Danio rerio: one gene and its partner. The protein of the gene in region 1 interacts with the protein of each later gene in a pairwise test. Links are inferred from orthologs where the notes say so. Each region holds a gene or a part of one and is shown on either strand. Other genes may lie near its edges.

Region 1 (5,726 bases):
CCTGCATGAGTGTGGACTCTCTCTCTCTCTCTCAGCTCTATATTTGGTGCACAGGCATCTGAAATAAGACATCACCAGATATTGTTGTAATATATATTGTAAAATGATACAAATAATGTAAATTTTTTGATGACATGACAATCATAAGTGGCTGTTCATACTAGATACATATATAGATACATATATAAATACATATATATATATATATATATATATATATATATACATATATATATATATATGTATATATACATATATATATGTATATATACATATATATATATATATATATATATATATATATATATATGTATATATATATATATATATATATATATATATATATATATATATATATATATATATATATAAATGTATATATATGTATATGTATATATATATATATATATATATATATATATATATATATATATATATATATATATATATATATGTATATATATGTATATGTATATATATATATATATATATATATATATATATATGTATATATATATATATATATATGTATATATACGTATATATATATATATATATATATATATATATGTATATATACATATATATTTATATTTGTATATATACATATATATATATATATATATATATATATATATATATATATATATATATATATATATATATATATATATGTGTGTATGTATGTATGTATGTATATATATATATATATAAATAAATATATATATATATATATATATATATATATATATATATATATATATATATATACCCTCGGCAGGGTCAGTTGGCATTTCTGTGTGGAGTTTGCATGATTACCCTGCGTTCACGTGGATTTCCTCTGGGTGTTAAGGTTTCCCCCACAATCCAAAGATATGCTGTGCAGGTAAATTGTGTAGGCTAAATTGTCCTTACTGTATGAGTGTGAATGTGTGTGTATGGATGTAGGTGGGTTGCGGCTGGAAAGGCATCTGCTGCATAAAAAATATGCTGGATAAGTTGGTGGTTCATTCCGCTGTGGCAACTCCAAATTAATAAAGGGACTAGGCTGAAAAGAAAATGAATGAATGGATGAATGAATGAAAAAGTGTAATAATAAAAATATAAAAAATAGTCAATAATATTAAACAGTGCTACATAATTTTGCAACTTTTCATAAAAAAGTACATTAATAAATAACAATAATATATTTTAATACTTGTTTGAAGTAAATATTAAATATCGTAAAGCCTTTTCTTTATGTGCAAATACATTTACACTCCTCACTTTGTATAATTAATATGCTAATAAAAATACTTGTTCAGAATAAATTACATAACATTTTTGCCACGTCACAAAACATTTACACGAAACATGGTCATACACTAAAAAATGCAGGGTTCCTCATAATTCATGTAGTTCCAACAAAAATCTGTTCAATATTAACTATTTTGTGCATTAAACACAAAACAAGCTTTTTTAAAAAATCTCAAGAATTGTGTTGTTTCATCTCATTTAATTTCATATAATTTCAAAAATCTTTTTGAGTGTGTTTACATATGAAGAGTTCAGATACAAAAACCCAAATGCCATCTGAAATGGTCTTCAAAAATGAATTTTTTTTTCTCAGTGTCCTATGTTTAAATGCTGTTATTTGACTTTAAATGCAGTGAAAATAACCAATAACCATAACAGTGAAATATCTGAAACTACACGGAGAAAAAAAAATAGAAAAGTGCTCATTTTAGAAGATTTCTGATGGCATTTGCATCTGAACTCTTCATATGAGGTTTGTTTTTAGTACTTGTTTGAAGTAAAAGTTAAATATTTGGAAAGCCTTTTCCTTATTAGGTGGATGTATTTACACCCCGCAATATTAATTGTATAATTAATATGGTAATGAAAATAATTGTTCGGTATAAATAAGATGATATAAATCTCCGAGCTTCATGCTAGCAAAACGTAAAAAGTGCTAATGTGGGCTGCCAGAAGAGCTACTTCACCTCCAACCACTAGAGAGCGCGATCCTCCTTCTGCTACAAGGCGACAGCAAATCCACAGAGCTTCCTGCCTTCTTCATCCCCTGAACTGAATGTGAAAGTCCACTTTTTATCATTTATGCAGGTAGGAAAGGTTGTCGAGTAACTTTGTAAGAGCGCTATTTGTGCAGAGATTTATGTAGTGGTTCTCGTGTTGAATTTCCGGTTTGCTGCTAGGGTTGTGATTTGGTAACGTACGCTTTTTTAGGGATTTTTTGTGTTTGTATGTCACTTTATTGCACATTTACATTACAAATGGCACCTGTCATTTTTAAGTGTGTGTATTAACTTGGTTCGAAGTGAACATTCACAAAACAAGAGTAGACCTGGTTCCACAATGTCTTACGTTAACTAACATTAGCATATGACTGTCTCCTGTCCCTGTATGTTATTTATTTAACACTTCTCTTATGATTTCCACAGTCTTTCATCATGAAAAGCTCCAAAGAAGCTGTACAGGCCGCTGCCAAAGAGTTTCTTAATTTTGTCAATAAAGGAGTTTCACCTTACCATGGTAAGAATGACACATGTAGTAAATATATTTTTATTATTGGCATTTATAGTATATAGTATGTTTTTGAGTCACACTGTAGTAAAGCATATGAAATCATCTGTAAGTAGTAATATAAACAAATGATCTGAACTATAATACACTACACCACTGTTTACTGTAGTTAAAACTAAATTATACAACTGGCCATGGTTTAGCAGTTTACTATAGTTAATACTACATTAATGCTGCACTAATCATTAACAAAGAATTGTAAATACTAAAGTCTATATACAGCAGATAATACATTCCAATATTTTGGTTCAAAAACTACATAGTAATCACAATAAACTATCGTAGTGTTTTTTGTGTGAAGGGAGTAAATTGCAGTATATTGAGCTGCAAGGCTATACAATTTAACATTTATATGGATAAATAAATTATTTTATTTATAGAGTTTGAGAAACACTTTGTTGATAATAAAATTAGCCAACTTTACAGTCTGACTAGATACAGGTCTTGAACATTGTTCCTCTCTAGCTGATAAAGCTCCAGATACGGGTAATAGATCCTGATCTGGACATTGAAAGCATGCACCTTCACTTTTTCCCTACATCAACAGACTTTGTGATTTGTCATTTCAGGTGTATTTGAGCATGCAAGAATGTTAGTTTACACACAGTATGTTTCCCTTTTAACTGTTTTTCTGTTTCCTTCTGTGTCTTGCAGTGGTGGAGGAGTGCAAATCTCGCCTGCTGAAGGCTGGTTTTACTGAGCTCAAAGAGGCTGAACATTGGGACATTAAACCTGCCAGTAAGGTGTGTGTTTGGAAACATTAAGATTTACAATTGCTTTGTTTAAAGGGCCATAACACCCTCCTCTTTTGGTTCTAGTCTGCCAAAAAAAAATTTCAAAAAATGCTCCGAAATGGGCGTGGAGCTTTACATGCAGAGAGAGGAGTGGGCGTGGCCAGCAGAGCAGGGGAAAAAGAGAGAAGCGAACAACTGCTGTTAGTTGGCTCACAAAATGAGACACAAACCATGAGACCCATGATTTTATAGTTTACAAAGTTAAAATGTAAAGAAATAAACAGTAAGGTATTTAATGCCCTGCTACATAAATTATTCGTAATTTCATATACACAAAACCACAATTTGTTATATCATTATAAAGATAATCAGGTTTATATAAACACTATAAACTCCTATACTTAGACACCTGACAAAAAGGCTTGCTGCAAACCAACAGCTTTGCTGTATTGGCCTCAACAGCATCGTGGGTAAAAACATGCAACAAACCCCGTGGACCATGGAAACAAACACATACGACCCATGCTATGCGCAGCACAGTCTCACTCAATGGCTCTCACAGCTTTGCAGGTCTGTTATTAAGAAGCAGGGTCTTCTCATAGTAGTGTTTCCTCTTGGGTTTTTTCCAGCTGTGGCGGCAGTCCTTTTTTAAACAGATCTGCCAAATACCTGTGGCGTTATTTTAATGACAAATGTTGTGAGCGCAGTATTAGATGTCGAGATCGCATTTATGTAATAACCTACATGTAAGAGCATGTGAATCTCTGCTTGCACGCCGATTTCCTCTGCTCATGCACAAAACTTTTTGCACGCCACCTCAAACATAAGCCGCTTGAAGAGTGCGCAGATCTTGTGCGATCTCAAACAAACGCTGCTGAGTGCGATTTAGTGCGTTTATGTAACAATTATGTCTCCAGCATTTATTAGATTTGCTAGGAATGTTTATAAATGCCTCTAATAGACCTAGAGAGTAGCATTAATGCGTAATGAAGTAAAGTGAAACGACTATACGTCGTGTTTGGCATCACGCACTTGTCAGTCTTTCAGTCAGTCACCACGTCACCTTAAAAGGTTAAAGAAATGATGCAGAGCACTTACTACGGTTACAGAAAAGTTTGCGTTGTTATAATTTACTTACCCTTTAATACGTTTTGGTGCGATTATCACCCGCTATTAAAAAAATAAAATGTTTTGAATCAGAAGCTGTAATGTAGCTGTGGCGGGATGAATTTTGACGTGGCGCCCCGCCTTGAAAGAATGAATGTAGCGGAAACCATGCACAGGATAAGAAAGCTCCGCTATGAATAATAATGAGAAACCGACACGTCATCATTTCATTCGCAAATTTGCGCCACGTCACCGTCACGTCATTTTGATCCCGCCCCAAAAATATTTTAAACCCGGAAAATTGAATTATCTAACAAAAGCTCAAAATTATCCAGTTTTCATTCATTCATTCATTCATTCATTCATTCATTTTCTTTTCGGCTTAGTCTCTATTGATCTGGGGTCGCCACAGTGGAATGAACCACCTACTTATCCAGCATGTTTTATCCTTCCAGCTGCAACCCATCACTAGGAAACATCCATACACACTCATTCACACTCGTACACTATGGACAATTTAGCCTACCCAATTCACCTGTACCGCATGTCTTTTGACTGTGGGAAAAACTGGGGTACCCAGAGGAAACCCACGCCAACACTGGGAGAACATGCAAACTCCACACAAAAATGCCAACTGACCCAGCCGAGGCTCGAACCAGCAACCTTCTTGGCTGTGAGGCGATCGTGCTACCCAGTGCATTACCGTGACGCCCATTATTCAGTATTCCCCACAATTAAAGCTGACAGGTGCTAACGTTGTCTTAACTGATGCTCAACACACACACACATCTGTTAAAATTTCAAAGAAATACTCCAGAGTGTCTTGAACCTTTAAAAAAAGAGCCTATTATGCTCATCAATGATGCATTTATTTGATTACAAACACTATAAGATGGTTTTATTGAGAAATATTATTTCAATGTATCTGTGCCCTGTGTGTAATATTTGTATTCTTAGAACTTAACACTTTATTTTAATAAAAAATAATTTGTAGCCAGTTACGTAAAAAGGTCTTGATTATCTTGCAAAGTATAGTCAGCCACGTGTCATATTCGATTACTTATTCTATATATTATTTATTCTATATAATTATACAGAAGCTATTTACTGCTGCTTACAGGATTTCCACACTTCTTGAAAGTATTTGAAAGTACTCGTATGGATTCAAGTCCTGGAAATATAGGTTCAAGACCTGGAAAGTACTTAAAAACAAACATAAGTGCTTGAATGAAATTTAAAATTAAATTTGTTTATGATGTTACTTCAACAATTGTGCCGCTGTCAATAACTGGATGAAAAAAA
Region 2 (5,133 bases), on another chromosome or scaffold:
ACTTAGTGTACGTTTTGTTGCATGTTTCAGATGACGAATCCATTAGAGAGCGCTTTCTACATGTTTGCGAACCTGAAATACGTTACTTAGGGTGTGTTTTGTACGTTTCAGATGACAAATCCACTAGAGGACGCTGTCTATATGTTTGTGAATCTGAAGTACGTTACTTAGGGTGTGTTTTGTTGTACGTTTCAGATGACGAATGCACTAGAGGGCGCTGTCTATATGTTTGTGAATCTGAAGTACGTTACTTAGGGTACGTTTTGTTGTACGTTTCAGATGACAAATCCACTAGAGGACGCTGTCTATATGTTTGTGAATCTGAAGTACGTTACTTAGGGTACGTTTTGTTGTACGTTTCAGATGACAAATTCATTTGAGGGCGCTGTTTTCATGTTTGCAAACCTGAAATACGTTACTTAGGGTACATTTTGTTGCATGTTTTAGATGACGAATCCCTTAGAGGGTGCTGTCTACATTTTTGTGAATCTGAAATACGTTATTTAGGGTACGTTTTCTTGTGCGTTTTAGATGACAAATTCACTAGAGAGCAATGTCTACATTTTACAAATATGAAATACGTTACTTGGGGTGTGTTTTGTTGTAGGTTTCAGATGACAAATCCACTAGTGGACGCTGTCTATATGTTTGTAAATCTGAAGTATGTTACTTAGGGTACGTTTTGTTGTACGTTTCAGATGACAAATCCACTTGAGGGCGCTATTTACATTATGGCGACTAAAATATGTTACTTAGGGTACATTTAGTTGCCAACTTCAGATGAAAAATCCACTAGAGGGGGCTGTCTGCATTTTTGCGACTTTTAAATACATTACTTAGGGTAGTTTTGTTGTTCGTTTTAGATGACAAATCCACTAGAGGGTGCTGTGAAAATATGCGAATTTGAAATACGTTACTTAGGGTGAGTTGAGTTTCATATAAATGTCCCTATTGTACACGTCCAGGGAAAGGCAGAGCTTGTCGTGCAACTCAGCTAGCGAACCACTAAGCTAAACTCTTTCCTAAACCCAACCGATAGTGTTTACAGAAGCAGACGTAAGAGAAATAAACATAGTTTCACCTTGATTTTACATCGTAAAAACGTACTTTATCGGACTCAATCTGAAGCACTCTGTAGGACAACACAGTACAAGGTGAGCTACGAGAAAACTGACCATGCCAAAAAAATGTACAGATATATTGTTGACACAACAGTATTCATTATCAGTATTCGTAATCACAGGCAGCGTTAAGTTGTTTTGTGGGGTTTATTTGCTGTTGTGCTAAGCACTGCATAAAAGCAATCCTTTATTCGTTAACCATGTCTCTAAATATCATTTTTGTGAAAAGGAATAAAAGGTCATCATCATACTGCCCCCTAGTGTTCATTTTACCTACATACTGCAGTGTAGCATGCGTTAAAGCACAAGTGTCAAATCCAGTTCCTGGAGGGCCGCAGCTCTGCACTGTTTAGCGTTACCCCTAATTAAACACAGCTTATTGATTTAATTAAGTCCTTCAGGCATGTTTGAAACAACAGGTAAGTGTGTTAAAGCAGGATTGGAACTAAACTGTGCAGAGCTGCGGCCCTCCAGGAACTAAATTTAACACCTATTTGTAAATGTTGGCTGAAGCTTGTATTTCCAGTGAGCCTGCGTTTTGGTTCTCAGGACAGTTTGAGCAGTGAGTTCAGTAAATGCTTGTGGTGTTTCTGCAGGAGAGTAGCGAGCAAAAGCAAAGCAACACGGGAAGCTGGACAGTCCTGCAGTCCTTTTGGCAAGAAGAAGAAATGCAAAGACAAATACCTCGCCAAACACAGCTCAAGTTAGTGAAGCGCACCTGTATACCATCACACACTGCTTATTTATGCATTTTCATAAAGTTTTATAACATTATACAGTAAAACAAAGTACTCGCACACTGTTTAAACACACATGTGCTGCTTTATTTATAAAAGGATTTGTGTTCACTTCCATGCAAATTCAGGAATGTTACAAGTCTTTTCACAGTCATTAATGTTCTGCTGAAAATGATTTACACTTAACAACAAAACAAACTAATAATGTTTTATTTGTATTCTTGTTAACAAATTGTTTTTTAATGTTATTGTCACCTGCAGTTTAAGCCTAGTGCTATTATTTATTACATTTATAATTTACCAATCACGATAATAATATTTTTGGCTAATTTGAATGTTGTGAATAATATAATATAATATAATATAATAGTAAGACAGTCTGTAAATTTAAACACACACACATATATAAATATATATATATATATATATATATATATATATATATATATATATATATATATATATATATATATATATATATATATATATAGACTCACCGGCCACTTTATTAGGTACAGCTGTCCAACTGCTCGTTAACGCAAATTGTAATCAGCCAATCACATTGCAGCAACTCAATGCATTTAGACATGTAGACATAGTCAAGACATCAGAATAGAGAAGAAAGGGGATTTAAGTGACTTTGAACGTGGCATGGTTGTTGGTGCCAGACGGGCTGGTCCACATATTTCAGAAACTGCTGATCTGCTGGGATTTTCACGCACAACCATCTCTAGGGTTTACAAAGAATGGTCTAGACTGGTTCCAGCTGATAAAAAGGCAACAGTAACTCACAAAGAGCATCTCTGAACACACAACACGTCCAACCTTGAGGCGGATGGGCTACAGCAGCAGAAGACCACACCGGGTGCCGCTCCACAGTCAAATGGGCTCCACAGTCACCAGAGCTCAACCCAATAGAGCAGCTTTGGGATGTGGTGGAACGGGAGATTGGCATCATGGATGTGCAGCCGACAAATCTGCAGCAACTGTGTGATGCTATCATGTCAACATGGAGCAAAATCTCTGTGGAATATTTCCAGTAGCTTGTTAAATATATGCTATGAAGGATTAAGGCAGTTCTGAAGGCAACCTGGTTCTACTAGCAAGGTGTAAGGTGTACCTAATTAAGTGGCCGGTTAGGCTTAATAAATCTAAATATTTTTCTATTATACCTCTGAATAACCACATCATGGCTTAATGTAATAAAAGCCACTATTTAAGTCTACAGATGCCCTTATAGAGCATTAACTGATGAATTTCTCTGTCTTTTCATTAGTCTTTGACCAGCTTGATGTCATATCTTATGAAGAGGTAGTGAGACTTCCAGCGTTCAACAGAAAGACCCTGGTTCTCATCGGTGAGCCATATATTGTGCTATTAATAGTGAAAATAGGAATATAAAATCTATTTGTTATTTCCATTCATCACTATACAGTAGATACTAAAACTGTTTCTTTCTGTTGTGTAAAGGTGCACATGGAGTTGGAAGGAGCCTTATTAAAAACTCACTGCTGAGCAAATATCCTGAGAAGTTTGCTTATCCAGCACCACGTATGTATCCTTCACTTCTGTTTCCCATTCATTCATTTGCTTTCAGCTTAGTCCCTTATTTATCAGGGGTCGCCACAGCGGAATGAACCACCAACTATTCCATCATATGTTTTACACGATCATAATGTTTTTTCTTTGCAGATACAACTAGACCTCAGAAGAAGGACGAGGAGAACGGCAAAGAATATTACTTCATCTCTAACGACGAGATGACTAAAGGCATTGTTGGAAACGAGCTGCTGGAGTACGGCAGCTATCAGGGACACATGTTCGGCACGAAGATCGAAACCATCCACAAGATCCACGAGCAGGGCAAGATCGCAGTGCTGGATGTCGAACCACAGGTAACAGATCTGGAAGATGTCTGTGCACTTTTGGTCACATGTTGACCTTTTTTAATGCCAAACTAAGAATGCTCTACACACTCAAAAATAAAGGTACAAAGGCACATATAAATACCTAAAAGTGCAAATGTGTACCTCATAGTATCTTAAAGGGATAAAAGAGAACTTTAAAGGTGCAAAGGTGTACCCTAGAGGTACTAATGTTCAACTGTACGGTACAAAACTGCACATCTAGGATATGTCTATCTGTATGTCTGTCTATCTGTCTCATACCTGCCAACATTTGTTCCTGAAAGTCTGGGAGATCTGGGGGTGGTTCGGGGGTGAGGTGTCTGAATAACACTGTTAAGAAGCGGGTACTGTGCTGTTAGTAACTGTACTATGGAGTGCGTTTCAGGCGACCGCTGCGATCGGATAATATACCAAAGTTGGTGACCCCGGGGTTTCACAGACTGGGCGAAATTATGTGACTTTTCCAGGAGACATAACAAAACGGGAGGGTTGCGGGAGACTTACCTTTCTGTCTATCTATATGTTTGGTTTGTCTATCTATCTATCTGTCTACCTGTTTGTCTGCCTATCTGTCTATCTATCCATCTGTTTGTCTATCTACCTATCTATCTATCTGCCTGCCTATCTATCTATCTATCTATCTATCTATCTATCTATCTATCTATCTATCTATCTATCTATCTATCTATCTATCTATCTATCTATCTATCTATCTATCTATCTATGTATCCATCCATCCATCCATCCATCCATCCATCCATCCATCCATCCATCCATCCATCCTGGCTCAAAAGTGCAAAAAATGTAATACTAACACATAAGTTTTTCAAACAAGAGGTCTACAGTATGTTTAACAGTTATGCATTTTATATGACACTAATTATTGTCATTTTTTGTCTTGAAAATGCAACGTCAAGTCAATAACTCGTATATATCATCCAACCAGAAAATACAACCTTCTTTGAGGACTAACAAACGTTGTTATCGTAATCTATCAAGTGATAATTTGGAGTCAGAATAATTTTTTTGTTTCTTGTTTAAATATTTCCCAAATTATTACAGAGCAAGGAAATGTTCACAGTATGTCTGATAATATTTTTTCTTCTGGAGAAAGTCTTATTTGTTTTATTTCGGCTAGAATAAAAGCAGTTTTCAATTTTTTAAACACCATTTTAAGGTCAATATTATTAGCCCCTTTATGCTATATTTTTTTCCATTAGTCTACAGAACAAATCATCATTATACAATAACTTGCCTAATTACCCTGACCTGCCTTGTTACCCTAATTAACCTAGTTAAGGCTTTAAATGTCACTTTAAGCTGTATAGAAGTGTCTTGAAGAATATCTAGTCTAATATTATTTACTGT

What was found.
Region 2: the proteins of dnpep (region 1) and mpp1 interact in binary tests that used the Homo sapiens proteins (3 or more experiments, as listed by UniProt). The two-hybrid records come from large-scale screens. The link is inferred for Danio rerio from reciprocal best matches to the Homo sapiens genes DNPEP and MPP1.

What each region holds. Positions count from the first base shown.
Region 1 is NC_133181.1:14,866,651-14,872,376, forward strand, and holds the start of dnpep (aspartyl aminopeptidase), read left to right. Parts: upstream 1-2,115; 5' UTR 2,116-2,207; intron 2,208-2,441; coding exon of another isoform or gene 2,442-2,450; coding exon 2,451-2,532; intron 2,533-3,237; coding exon 3,238-3,326; intron 3,327-5,726.
Region 2 is NC_133196.1:48,086,153-48,091,285, reverse strand, and holds part of mpp1 (55 kDa erythrocyte membrane protein), read left to right. Parts: exon of another isoform or gene 1-93; intron 94-507; exon of another isoform or gene 508-1,591; intron 1,592-1,717; coding exon 1,718-1,824; intron 1,825-3,134; coding exon 3,135-3,215; intron 3,216-3,328; coding exon 3,329-3,409; intron 3,410-3,550; coding exon 3,551-3,753; intron 3,754-5,133. UniProt on the Homo sapiens protein: Essential regulator of neutrophil polarity. Regulates neutrophil polarization by regulating AKT1 phosphorylation through a mechanism that is independent of PIK3CG activity.